4 linked regions of the Saccharomyces cerevisiae S288C genome follow. The protein of the gene in region 1 binds, or shares a complex with, the protein of each later gene. Each region holds a gene or a part of one and is shown in the gene's direction. Other genes may lie near its edges. The genes, in order: RSM10, MRPS5, MRP17 and MRP2.

What was found.
Region 2: RSM10 (region 1) and MRPS5 share a complex: the UniProt entries of both Saccharomyces cerevisiae proteins name them as parts of the mitochondrial small ribosomal subunit.
Region 3: RSM10 (region 1) and MRP17 share a complex: the UniProt entries of both Saccharomyces cerevisiae proteins name them as parts of the mitochondrial small ribosomal subunit.
Region 4: RSM10 (region 1) and MRP2 share a complex: the UniProt entries of both Saccharomyces cerevisiae proteins name them as parts of the mitochondrial small ribosomal subunit.

What each region holds. Positions count from the first base shown.
Region 1 is NC_001136.10:538,045-541,021, forward strand, and holds RSM10 (mitochondrial 37S ribosomal protein uS10m RSM10), read left to right. Parts: upstream 1-1,758; coding exon 1,759-2,370; downstream 2,371-2,977. Other genes in the region: Na(+)/Li(+)-exporting P-type ATPase ENA1, read right to left, coding at 1-423; YDR042C (uncharacterized protein), read right to left, coding at 2,557-2,977. UniProt on the Saccharomyces cerevisiae protein: Component of the mitochondrial ribosome (mitoribosome), a dedicated translation machinery responsible for the synthesis of mitochondrial genome-encoded proteins, including at least some of the essential transmembrane subunits of the mitochondrial respiratory chain.
Region 2 is NC_001134.8:719,756-722,841, forward strand, and holds MRPS5 (mitochondrial 37S ribosomal protein uS5m MRPS5), read left to right. Parts: upstream 1-1,634; coding exon 1,635-2,558; downstream 2,559-3,086. Other genes in the region: SPO23 (Spo23p), read left to right, coding at 1-849; DUT1 (bifunctional dITP/dUTP diphosphatase), read left to right, coding at 2,856-3,086. UniProt on the Saccharomyces cerevisiae protein: Component of the mitochondrial ribosome (mitoribosome), a dedicated translation machinery responsible for the synthesis of mitochondrial genome-encoded proteins, including at least some of the essential transmembrane subunits of the mitochondrial respiratory chain.
Region 3 is NC_001143.9:436,597-439,449, reverse strand, and holds MRP17 (mitochondrial 37S ribosomal protein bS6m MRP17), read left to right. Parts: upstream 1-1,957; coding exon 1,958-2,353; downstream 2,354-2,853. Other genes in the region: MET14 (adenylyl-sulfate kinase), read left to right, coding at 65-673; ESCRT-III subunit protein DID4, read right to left, coding at 906-1,544, 1,613-1,672; AUR1 (inositol phosphorylceramide synthase), read right to left, coding at 2,665-2,853. UniProt on the Saccharomyces cerevisiae protein: Component of the mitochondrial ribosome (mitoribosome), a dedicated translation machinery responsible for the synthesis of mitochondrial genome-encoded proteins, including at least some of the essential transmembrane subunits of the mitochondrial respiratory chain.
Region 4 is NC_001148.4:875,675-878,338, reverse strand, and holds MRP2 (mitochondrial 37S ribosomal protein uS14m MRP2), read left to right. Parts: upstream 1-1,709; coding exon 1,710-2,057; downstream 2,058-2,664. Other genes in the region: mediator complex subunit NUT2, read right to left, coding at 1-263; MET16 (phosphoadenylyl-sulfate reductase (thioredoxin)), read left to right, coding at 707-1,492; Rho family GTPase RHO1, read right to left, coding at 2,342-2,664. UniProt on the Saccharomyces cerevisiae protein: Component of the mitochondrial ribosome (mitoribosome), a dedicated translation machinery responsible for the synthesis of mitochondrial genome-encoded proteins, including at least some of the essential transmembrane subunits of the mitochondrial respiratory chain.

The sequences.
Region 1 (2,977 bases):
TATAGTCTCACTTTTCCCGTTCCTAATAACATGAGCATTGGGAGAGCTCAAGTTTTTCAAAGAGTTCATTGTCTTGGTAGCCTTATATTCTTGAACTAGGCCAATGAGCACATTGACCGCGATAACAAAAGAAATAACGCCACCAGTAATCCAATCATGCATGGCAAACGAGATTATCATGGATATTAGAAGGACCATGATCATGGCATTACATACCTGATGGAGGACCATTGCCTTGTAATCAATTTTAGTGTCATCACCCAATGTGTTCTCACCCACTGTTTTCAATCTGTGGACGAACTCATCTTGGGTCAAACCTTCAGTTAGACTTGTGCCTATGAATTCAGCGGCTTCTTCTGCAGTCAGCGTGTGATAAGCATTGAATTCTGCATTATTGTTTTCCTTAGTAGTTCCTTCGCCCATCGAAAATTTTCAATTCTGTGTACGAAGTTTTTTCTTTAATTAGTAAATATACGTATTGTTGCCTCAAATAAATGTGAATTAAGTGTGAACAGTTCACTTGATGAAGATATCTGCTTTATTAAAGTTAATATTAGAATATAAATGATTAGACTATTACTAATGAGAAAAGAAAGATAGGAGAAATAGTAGAAATTAATAGTACTCTAAAAAGAAAGAACGGAATAAGAGGAAAAGACCTTTTATCTATTCAAATTGTTTCCCTTAGGTATATATATATATATATATATATATATATATTTTCCCTGTATATATCTATGTAAATGACGAAAACGCATGACATTTTAAAACCTACCCCGGGTTTGACCACAACCCACCGTTCATCTAATATTAACCCGCACCCACCAAGGAAAGAGGCAATAATTCGGGAATACTGCTCTAAGACCTTGTTTTTTCTTCTGTCAGGTGAAAGTATATGACCAAAATCTACATCCCTGCCCTAACAAACGTCATAGAAGTAGGAAATAAATGATGAGCCCCGCAAAATGACGCCGCACGGCGATGTTTAAGACCCTGTACTCACAATGTAACCACTTCGTGCAGAAGCTTCTGGGAGGAAAGGGTCCGTACATGAATTATCACACCCACACCCCTCATTCAATCCTTCTACCGCGCATGGTAATCAATCATAACAGGAAGCGATAAGAAAGTTTACATTGCACAGCCACCCTCATTGCCTCTGTGATTGAAGATCTGGGAGTGGGGCTAAAGGTGCAACTTCCGTACAAGAGTGACGAGATAAAGGATTTTCCACGGAATGGCTGACAAAATTCGGGGCTTGTGTGAGTTCCACGTGCGGATGACTTAATAAGCTCAGTGATTGTACTTTTGACATGATTGATGAACGGCTAGAGATAGCCACCGAGTGGCTACTTAGTAATAACCAGCGTAGGAAACAATTACGGATTTTGTTATCGTTCACCGATAACCCTAAAATATTGACCACACTGGTAGTCATTAGAATTTAACCAAGAGGGTAGCTTAGTTCGACCGATAATCAATATTACTGAAGTCTTATCAAATTCTGACTCTTGCCATACCGTTTCTTATCGTCACTGTTTAATCCGGAAATTAGTCATGTATCCACACATCCTTTATTAACAGCAGAGAGATTGGGCAAGAATGTTAGCAAACTATGTACCAGGCGGGTAATACCTGTACATCTATTTTCTTTTGAAAAGGAAAAAATGCAAGAAAGGGCATGAAATGAAACTATTTGGTACAAATTAGAATTATGCGAACCGTGCAAAATCAGAAAAGGGGGAAAAACATTGGCCAATGCTTAGAAATACCATTGCATTAAGATCATTTATCAGAACACAGTCGACGCGCCCATATCCTGTAAATGTAGAGGCAGTCTACTATGCTCCTTTAAAGTTACCTATCAAATATGGTGATTTAGTTGCAGACATTCAGTTAAGATCGTATGACAATGAAAACCTCGATTTTTATTCAGACTTCATACTTAGAACAGGTTACTATTTGGGTATCCCATTGACAGGTCCTAAACCTTTGCCCACGAGAAGAGAAAGGTGGACTGTAATAAAATCACCTTTCGTGCACGCTAAATCCAAAGAGAATTTTGAAAGACATACACATAAGAGGCTCATTAGGGCCTGGGATACGAACCCCGAAGTGCTACAGATGTTGATAGCTTACATTACGAAGCACTCTATGGCAGGCGTCGGAATGAAATGTAACTTCTTTCAAAGGTCCGAAATATCGCTGGACTTGGGTTCGGACGCCAATGGCCTCGAAAAATCACTAAGCAATATCGATGAATTGTATTCTCTGAGAAACGATGATAAAGCTCAAACTAGTGCTGTCGGACAAAAAGTATTGGAACTATTGGATAGCCCCGATTTTAAAAAACATTTGGAAAAGAAGTAAAAAGATGATGGCAATCCTATAATTACGCTGGTTCTTGGGACCGAAAAGATTTCGTACTTGTAAATAAAATAGGTGAAGAAGAGGGGCAAAAAGTAGTAGATTAAATGGTTATACTGAATTTATAAGTAAGTTTAATTATATTTTTTAACTATATGATGAACAATTTTGTACTAATATTGCGGCCCGTTATGAGTATTGCTCTTGCCATAAAAGTGTGTTCACTGCTTTGTTTCCTGGTACTGCATACCGCTTAATATTGTTATCGCTCAATAAATTTAGTTTCTGGAAGCTTTCCAAGGACTTACCAGGTAGCGGGCCTGAGAATCTATTTTTTAGTCCATCGGCTACAAAAATCGGTAGTATATTTGTTCTTGGTAAGTAAGCTTTGCTAAAGGAAAGTGTCCTTTTTCTGTTTGTATTCTTCTTCGAATTCCACCTGAAATGTTGGACATTCAGGGATGTGTGTAACCGATACTTCTGGTCAGAGAGTTTGTATACAATATACTCCGCTAATCTGAAAATGGTAAAAAATAATATAAAAACATTCTTGGTAGCAGATATGGAATCTGAATTCATATTGAGAAAGTTTCGCTCAGTACTCCAACTA
Region 2 (3,086 bases), on another chromosome or scaffold:
TTTACCCTTCAAGCAAATACTTTCCCAGCAAGTTTCTCTTCCTTCTTTGGCAAGACCCATTTTCGAATAGAAAGCTTAACAACAATAATGAGAATACCAAGTAAACCTAAAAACTTACTCAAATTTTTGAAGAATGAAAGTTTTACAGATAAGATCATTTTAACAGAAGAAATTAAAGTTAAAAGAGTCCTGCCTTCAACGAGTATGCTTAAGTTTGAAACATTTCAATTAAGGTCATACAATACTGCAAGTGAGATCGTAGTATCGGTCATTGGAAACTCCAAGTTGATTGAAATTGGTATGCCTTTCCAAATGATATTATCAATTACCAAAACAGATTCTTCCATTGAATTACAGGAAGCTTCTTTGGCAGTTGCACAGAGAATGGCAATACCAAGTATTGATTTGAAGACCAAGAAAATACTACGAGAGCCATACATTAAAAAGTCCGAGTATTTACTAAGAACTGTAGAAAGCCAAAGTTTCGATTCCGACAAGACCATTTTCGGATTTTGCTTTGATGACGTTGTCATCCCAACCTATGCGGATGGTCTACCGAGCTGGTTTAAAACATTCTACTGTGAACCAAGTTCATTTTATCCCAATCATGCTGCCCTCAAAGTAACTCATTTGCTTTTGTTCAGAATAACCTATAGCAGGAATGAATTGGTGGAAGGGCTTGAAATGAAAAAAAATTATCGTATTACGGTGAATTTTCCAATTTTAGTTGGCGATAGTGATATTTCGACCAGCTCTTTGTTACCCAAATATGAAAAATTTGAAAATATTAGTGATCTACAAGATGAACCCCCACTATATTCTATGGTAGCAGGTGAGAATAGCTTATGAATGTTCGGTACCTCAGAACAACGCCTCTATTTTATCCTTTTTTTTTTTATTTGCATGATATACATATACTATTTTTTATTAGTTTCTTATTCTACTATGTATTTACGTAACAATAAATTTACAGGTCTCTCTTTTTGTAAGTATCTTGCACGCTGATATCTATAATACTACTTCACAAGTTGATCAGCTTCCGAGATAGACATTTTATGTATCAAGTCGCCATGTCCGTTCTCTACTGGCCGGTGTATATTATGATATTTCGACCGGTTCTAATACATAAGCACCGCCCACTCTGAGGAGAAGACATTTTTACAAGAATTACTAGCCATATTTTCCCTTGTCAAATTAGAGAAGGAAAAATTACTTGAAACATCCCGTGTTTGGGCACTAAAAGTATATCAATAGGAGCTGAAGAACACTACACTAGACTCTCTTGGCGTGAAGGCCTTATTATGTGAACTTTCGTAGGTTTGACTTTTACTACCAGTATGAAAAAGGTTAGAGTTTATTCAATCAAATGGAAAAGTTTTACAACTGAGCTAGTGATCTCCAAATGAGGTAGCAAGTAACAGTCGTATGTATCCCATACATTTATGTATCCCATATATTTCATTACATGGTGATGCTTTCTTTTATTCGCGGAGTAAAGTTCCTTAAAGTGAAAAAAAAAAAAAGACGAATTGACAAGACAATAATACAAGCACCACTAAAAGACCTATCGTTATTGTTGTCAAAGTAGACGGTAAACCATACAAGAAACAGATTTCATAGATCAATAGGTAAAGATGTTCAAGAGGCAATTATCGACTAGTGTTCGTTATCTACAGCATTATGATGAGTCGCTATTATCAAGGTACTATCCTGAAAGTCTTTTAAAATCCATAAAACTTGCTCAACAAACGATACCAGAAGATACTAAATTCAGAGTATCTCGTAACGTGGAATTCGCACCACCATATTTGGATGATTTTACCAAAATACATCCTTTTTGGGATTACAAACCAGGCATGCCCCATCTCCACGCTCAAGAGGAGAATAATAACTTCAGCATCTTTAGATGGGACCAGGTACAACAACCATTACCAGGCGAAGGTAACATTCTGCCTCCAGGAGTCAGCTTACCAAACGATGGTGGTCGGAAATCGAAAAGCGCCGATGTAGCTGCAGGGCTACACAAGCAAACCGGTGTAGATCCGGATTATATCACTAGAAAGTTGACTATGAAGCCGCTGGTGATGAAAAGAGTGTCAAATCAGACTGGGAAGGGTAAAATTGCGTCTTTCTATGCCTTGGTTGTCGTTGGTGACAAAAACGGTATGGTAGGTTTGGGAGAAGGTAAATCTCGTGAAGAAATGTCCAAAGCGATCTTTAAAGCTCATTGGGATGCGGTAAGGAACCTGAAGGAAATACCTAGGTATGAAAACAGAACTATTTATGGTGATATAGATTTTAGGTATCATGGTGTGAAACTACATTTAAGAAGTGCAAAACCAGGGTTTGGATTACGTGTAAACCATGTAATCTTTGAGATTTGTGAATGTGCAGGTATCAAAGATCTGAGTGGGAAAGTATATAAATCCAGAAACGATATGAATATAGCTAAAGGTACCATCGAGGCTTTCACGAAAGCTCAAAAGACATTGGATGAGGTTGCCCTGGGTAGAGGCAAAAAGCTTGTTGATGTCAGGAAAGTTTACTATTCAAGCTGAAATACTATGTACATACACACGCACCATTATCTCTCGTTTTACATAAGTAAATACAGCAATAATAATACCTGTAAATATCTCAACATACTCAATCAAATGAGCTGATAAGCATATTCAATTTTTCTTCATAGCAATATTTTTTTCTGTCCAAGTTTTATTTTTTTTCCATAATTTCTGATTTACTACCATTGAAAATTATAAAAGGAAAAATATTACGCGCTACCATTTAATAAGTAGAAACAACTAAGTTCTCGAATGAGATGTTTGCACTGATACAGCGAGCCAAAAAATAACCAAATGACTGCTACTAGCGACAAAGTACTAAAGATTCAATTGCGCTCAGCAAGCGCTACTGTACCTACCAAAGGTTCTGCCACTGCCGCGGGATACGACATTTATGCATCTCAGGATATTACCATTCCGGCTATGGGTCAAGGTATGGTTTCCACCGACATATCGTTCACCGTACCTGTTGGTACCTACGGTCGTATTGCGCCAAGGTCAGGCCTGGCAGTGAAAAACGGTATC
Region 3 (2,853 bases), on another chromosome or scaffold:
TCTCTTTGTTCGAACTTGACATCAAGAAAAGTTGGAATTATTTCTCCAAGCACACTGTACACCAATGGCTACTAATATTACTTGGCATCCAAATCTTACTTACGACGAACGCAAGGCATTGAGAAAACAGGACGGTTGTACTATTTGGTTAACAGGTCTAAGTGCGTCAGGTAAAAGTACAATCGCCTGTGCGCTAGAACAGTTACTGCTCCAAAAAAACTTGTCTGCATATAGATTGGATGGTGACAACATTCGTTTTGGATTGAACAAGGATTTGGGTTTCTCAGAAAAGGACAGAAATGAAAACATTCGTAGAATTAGCGAAGTTTCTAAGCTATTTGCTGATTCATGTGCTATTTCAATCACCTCATTTATCTCTCCATACAGAGTTGACAGAGATAGAGCTCGTGAACTACATAAGGAGGCTGGTTTGAAGTTCATTGAAATATTTGTTGATGTTCCATTAGAAGTCGCTGAGCAAAGGGACCCTAAGGGTTTATACAAGAAAGCTAGGGAGGGTGTAATCAAGGAGTTTACAGGTATTTCTGCCCCATATGAAGCGCCAAAAGCTCCAGAGCTACATTTGAGAACCGACCAGAAGACGGTTGAAGAATGTGCTACCATTATTTATGAGTACTTAATCAGTGAAAAAATCATCCGTAAGCATTTGTAATTTGACCGATTACTGTACATTTAATGATATATAAAAGATGTATATATATAATATAGAACATATTTATTCGAGGATTCATTCGAAAAAAAAAGAAAACTTTAGTGACGAGATTGAGTAAAGTGAAAAACTGAACAAATTTTCGGAAGCCTTTTGATTCTAAGTGCCTACTTTGATATCAGTAGTTGATGTATTATAGTATAGACCTATTATTCATTAAATATACTCAGAGCGCTCAAGTCTGCTTCTTCAAAGTGTTCAACCGAGCTTGCAAGTCATCGTCAGGATTACCGTGAAATTCTGATCCGGCGCCAATAGGTTCAGGAATCCCCATCGCTGTTTCTGCGATCGGCGCATTAGAAACCAGATTTTGAGGCGTGCTTTGCAACTGTGAATTCAAATCCACTCCAATCTCATCAAGAACTTTATTTACAATTTCGTCAGCTTCTTCGTCTTCATCCACCTCATCACCCATGACGTTATCAATAGCTTCGTCCATGAATTCCTGTCGTTGACCCATCAAATCACTCTGCTTTTCAAACTCCATCGATATCCTTTGCAACTGAGGTAGATTCATTGTTCTGTTCATTCCAGCCAAAAGACCAGTGGCCTCGCTCATAGAACGTGTCATTTGGTCACTACTTCGAACGGCCTGTATTCTCAATGATATCGCCTGAAGTTGAGCTTTCATGTTGTCAAATTTTTGGATGTAATTCCGGGTTCTTACTAAATCTTTTGCTTGAACTTTCGCAGCTGCAACTTGCCCATTCTTTGCCGATTTTTTAATTTCTGATACAAGTTTTTTATCTTGTAGTTCCAATTTTCTCTTTTCTCTTTCAAGCTCCCTCTGAGTCCTTTCTAAAGCCCTTTGATTCTAAAAACTCAAATAATTAACGTTAGTATGTTCACTAAAATAACTGATCCAAATACAGAACAACATACTTTTTTTAACCTCTCTTGCGGAGTGACATTCTTTCCAAATACCCACTCAAACAAACTCATTGTTTAACGTTCTGTGTCCAAGGGTGAAACAATCAGCCTTGAAGTACACTGGTCACAAATACGCTTCAACTGAATACGCATAATTCGAAAGGATGATTTCTGATTAGGAGGAGACGAAGTCCCTTTAATGCTGATTTTATCTATCTTTTCGCAGTTATCATCTAACCCGGAAAAGTTTCAACAAGACTTTAGCCTTTTAATGGAAACTCCCACTAGTTCAGCTTAAACAAAATAGAAAAGCTTCAACAGAGGAAAGAATAACGCAAAACCACCCTTTTCACTAAGATGCTTTATGAGCTGATCGGACTTGTTCGCATAACCAACTCCAATGCGCCAAAGTTGGAAGCAAAAGAATTGTCTTCCACAATCGGGAAACTGATTATTCAAAACAGAGGTGTGGTGAGGGACATTGTACCCATGGGCATAAGGTATCTTCCTAAAATAATGAAGAAAGACCAGGAAAAACATTTTCGAGCATATCACTTTTTAATGCTGTTTGATTCATCAGCTGCGGTACAGTCTGAAATTCTAAGAACTTTAAAGAAAGATCCCCGTGTCATAAGATCATCCATCGTTAAAGTTGATTTAGATAAGCAGCTGGATAGAGCCTCATCGTTACACCGTTCTTTGGGGAAGAAGTCTATTTTAGAATTAGTGAATGAAGATTATCAATCCATTTAGGTATAGCGCACAGGTTTTGACTGGGGACGCTACAAACACATGTAAATACATACATATCTTTCATACACATATAATAAACAAAGCAGGAAGAGCATTCTAAAAGCCTCACTTAACATAGACACCATTAAAAGCCACCCATTTATTTCAAAAATTTATAAAATTCTAAAGATAATCAGTGGTATGTGATTAAATAAACTACATGTATATTATGCTAAACGACAATCCTGACTAAGAAAAAGAAAGAAAAAGATATATATTTATATGTATCTACATAAGACCAACCGTATCCGTAATTGCAGATAAAATACTCATTAAGCCCTCTTTACACCTAGTGACGTTATAGACGTGGCGGACGAACGAGAAACAGAAGTAGATCCATCAAATAACGAAGGGCTTACACTGGGTTCATCAGTCATATTAAGATCAAAGTCAAGTTCCAAGTTGGACAAAGGGACACTTTCGATATCGTTTGAATCTGCAGCCAATGGATCACTCTTTGA
Region 4 (2,664 bases), on another chromosome or scaffold:
TCAATGTATTGAACAACTTCCAAGGGAATGTCCACCTTAGACAAGCTGGATTGAGGATCGTTGCTTCTCACGTTCAGCTTGTACAAGCGATCCACATTTCTTTGCAAGTTGGTGATCATTCCCTTGGTGGCTTCTGGAGTACCAGGAAAATCATATATCGAGACACCTAATTCAACGAAGGACTCAATAATCGAAGCCACTTGGTCTTGAGTAGTGGCCAGTTCTTGCTGCAATTGTTCATTGTTAGTGCTGTTTCCATTCATCTTATCGGTTTATTTTTCTATATATTTGCCTCTTTCTCAAACAGGAGTTAGTAGTTAAAAGTACGAAGTTCTTGTTCTTTAATGCGCGCTGACAAAAGAATTGGATAAAAGAGAATGGTGGGGGGACAAGAAGGAAATTTGTCCTAGTTTAACATGAATGGCATCTTGTTACCGGGTGGACATCACCTATTGATTCTAAATATCTTTACGGTTTATCATACTGTTCTTTATTCCGTCGTTATTCTTTTTATTTTTATCATCATTTCACGTGGCTAGTAAAAGAAAAGCCACAACATGACTCAGCAAATCTCGACAAAGTAAAAGCTCATAGAGATAGTATTATATTGATATAAAAAAAGTATACTGTACTGTTTGTAACCTTTTCAATGCTTTAAGATCAAAACTAAGGCCAGCAAAGGTATCAACCCATAGCAACTCATAAAATGAAGACCTATCATTTGAATAATGATATAATTGTCACACAAGAACAGTTGGATCATTGGAATGAACAACTAATCAAGCTGGAAACGCCACAGGAGATTATTGCATGGTCTATCGTAACGTTTCCTCACCTTTTCCAAACCACTGCATTTGGTTTGACTGGCTTGGTTACTATCGATATGTTGTCAAAGCTATCTGAAAAATACTACATGCCAGAACTATTATTTATAGACACTTTGCACCATTTCCCACAAACTTTAACACTAAAAAACGAGATTGAGAAAAAATACTACCAGCCTAAAAATCAAACCATTCACGTATATAAGCCGGATGGATGTGAATCGGAGGCAGATTTTGCCTCGAAATACGGGGATTTCTTATGGGAGAAAGATGATGACAAGTACGATTATCTGGCCAAAGTGGAACCTGCACATCGTGCCTACAAAGAGCTACATATAAGTGCTGTGTTTACTGGTAGAAGAAAATCACAAGGTTCTGCCCGCTCCCAACTGTCGATTATTGAAATAGACGAACTTAATGGAATCTTAAAAATAAATCCATTGATCAATTGGACGTTCGAGCAGGTTAAACAGTATATAGATGCAAACAATGTACCATACAACGAACTTTTGGACCTTGGATATAGATCCATTGGTGATTACCATTCCACACAACCCGTCAAGGAAGGTGAAGATGAGAGAGCAGGAAGATGGAAGGGCAAGGCCAAGACCGAGTGTGGAATTCATGAAGCCAGCCGATTCGCGCAATTTTTAAAGCAAGATGCCTAGATAGATAGAGTACGATATATAACCATATGTATGTGACTAATTATTTATTCCTTAATAACACCAATGATTACAACTTTCTAAAGCTGGCGGAGAATTCGCGCTGTACGAGAAAAGAGCGAAAACAGAGGAATATTCAAACTAAGAACCAAACTGCGATAAAGAGGATTGAAAGGAAAAACGAAAGAAAAGGTAAACTGACAAATATATACATTAACCGATGGGTAATTTCAGATTTCCTATAAAAACCAAGCTACCACCAGGGTTTATCAATGCTCGCATACTTAGGGATAACTTCAAAAGACAACAATTTAAAGAGAATGAAATCCTTGTTAAATCTTTGAAATTCATCGCTAGAAATATGAACCTTCCAACAAAACTGAGGTTGGAGGCTCAGTTAAAACTAAATGCATTGCCAAACTACATGAGATCTACGCAGATCAAAAATAGGTGCGTGGACTCTGGACATGCAAGATTTGTTCTAAGTGATTTTAGGTTGTGTAGGTATCAATTTAGAGAAAACGCTCTGAAGGGTAATTTGCCAGGTGTTAAGAAGGGTATTTGGTAAAAAATTTTATCGCGAAAGTATATATATATATATATATAGGATACGCACTTGTAAATAAATACATGATAATTTTTATTCTTCTTTAATAGATGATAATACTTACTGAGCAATACACTTATATGTAGAGAAGAATAAGATTATACACATACTGGGAGAAAAACAAGTAGCTATAGTTAGAGCTAAAATAACAAAAAAAGGCATACGTACATACAATGAGAAAAGGAATGGGATTGAAAAAGGGCAGTATCTGCCACTAAGTTAACGACTGAGAGATCGAGACACTCCTATAACAAGACACACTTCTTCTTCTTCTTTTCAGTAGTGTTCTTCTTAGCTTTACCATTCGTTTTAGATTTACCCATCAATGAAGCTCTAGTGGCGGCCTCAAACACTTCTCTGACACCATAACCAGTCTTGGCCGAACATTCGTAGTATCCGGTTGCGCCAATCTGGTCTGCTACAGATTGTCCCTCCTGTGATGTAACGGGTTGTTGACCTTCTTGTCTTAATTGTTCAATGGTTTGTGGGTCGTTTCTCAAATCCACTTTACAACCAACAAGAATAATTGGCACACCTTGACAGAAATGTAATACTTCGGCAATCCATT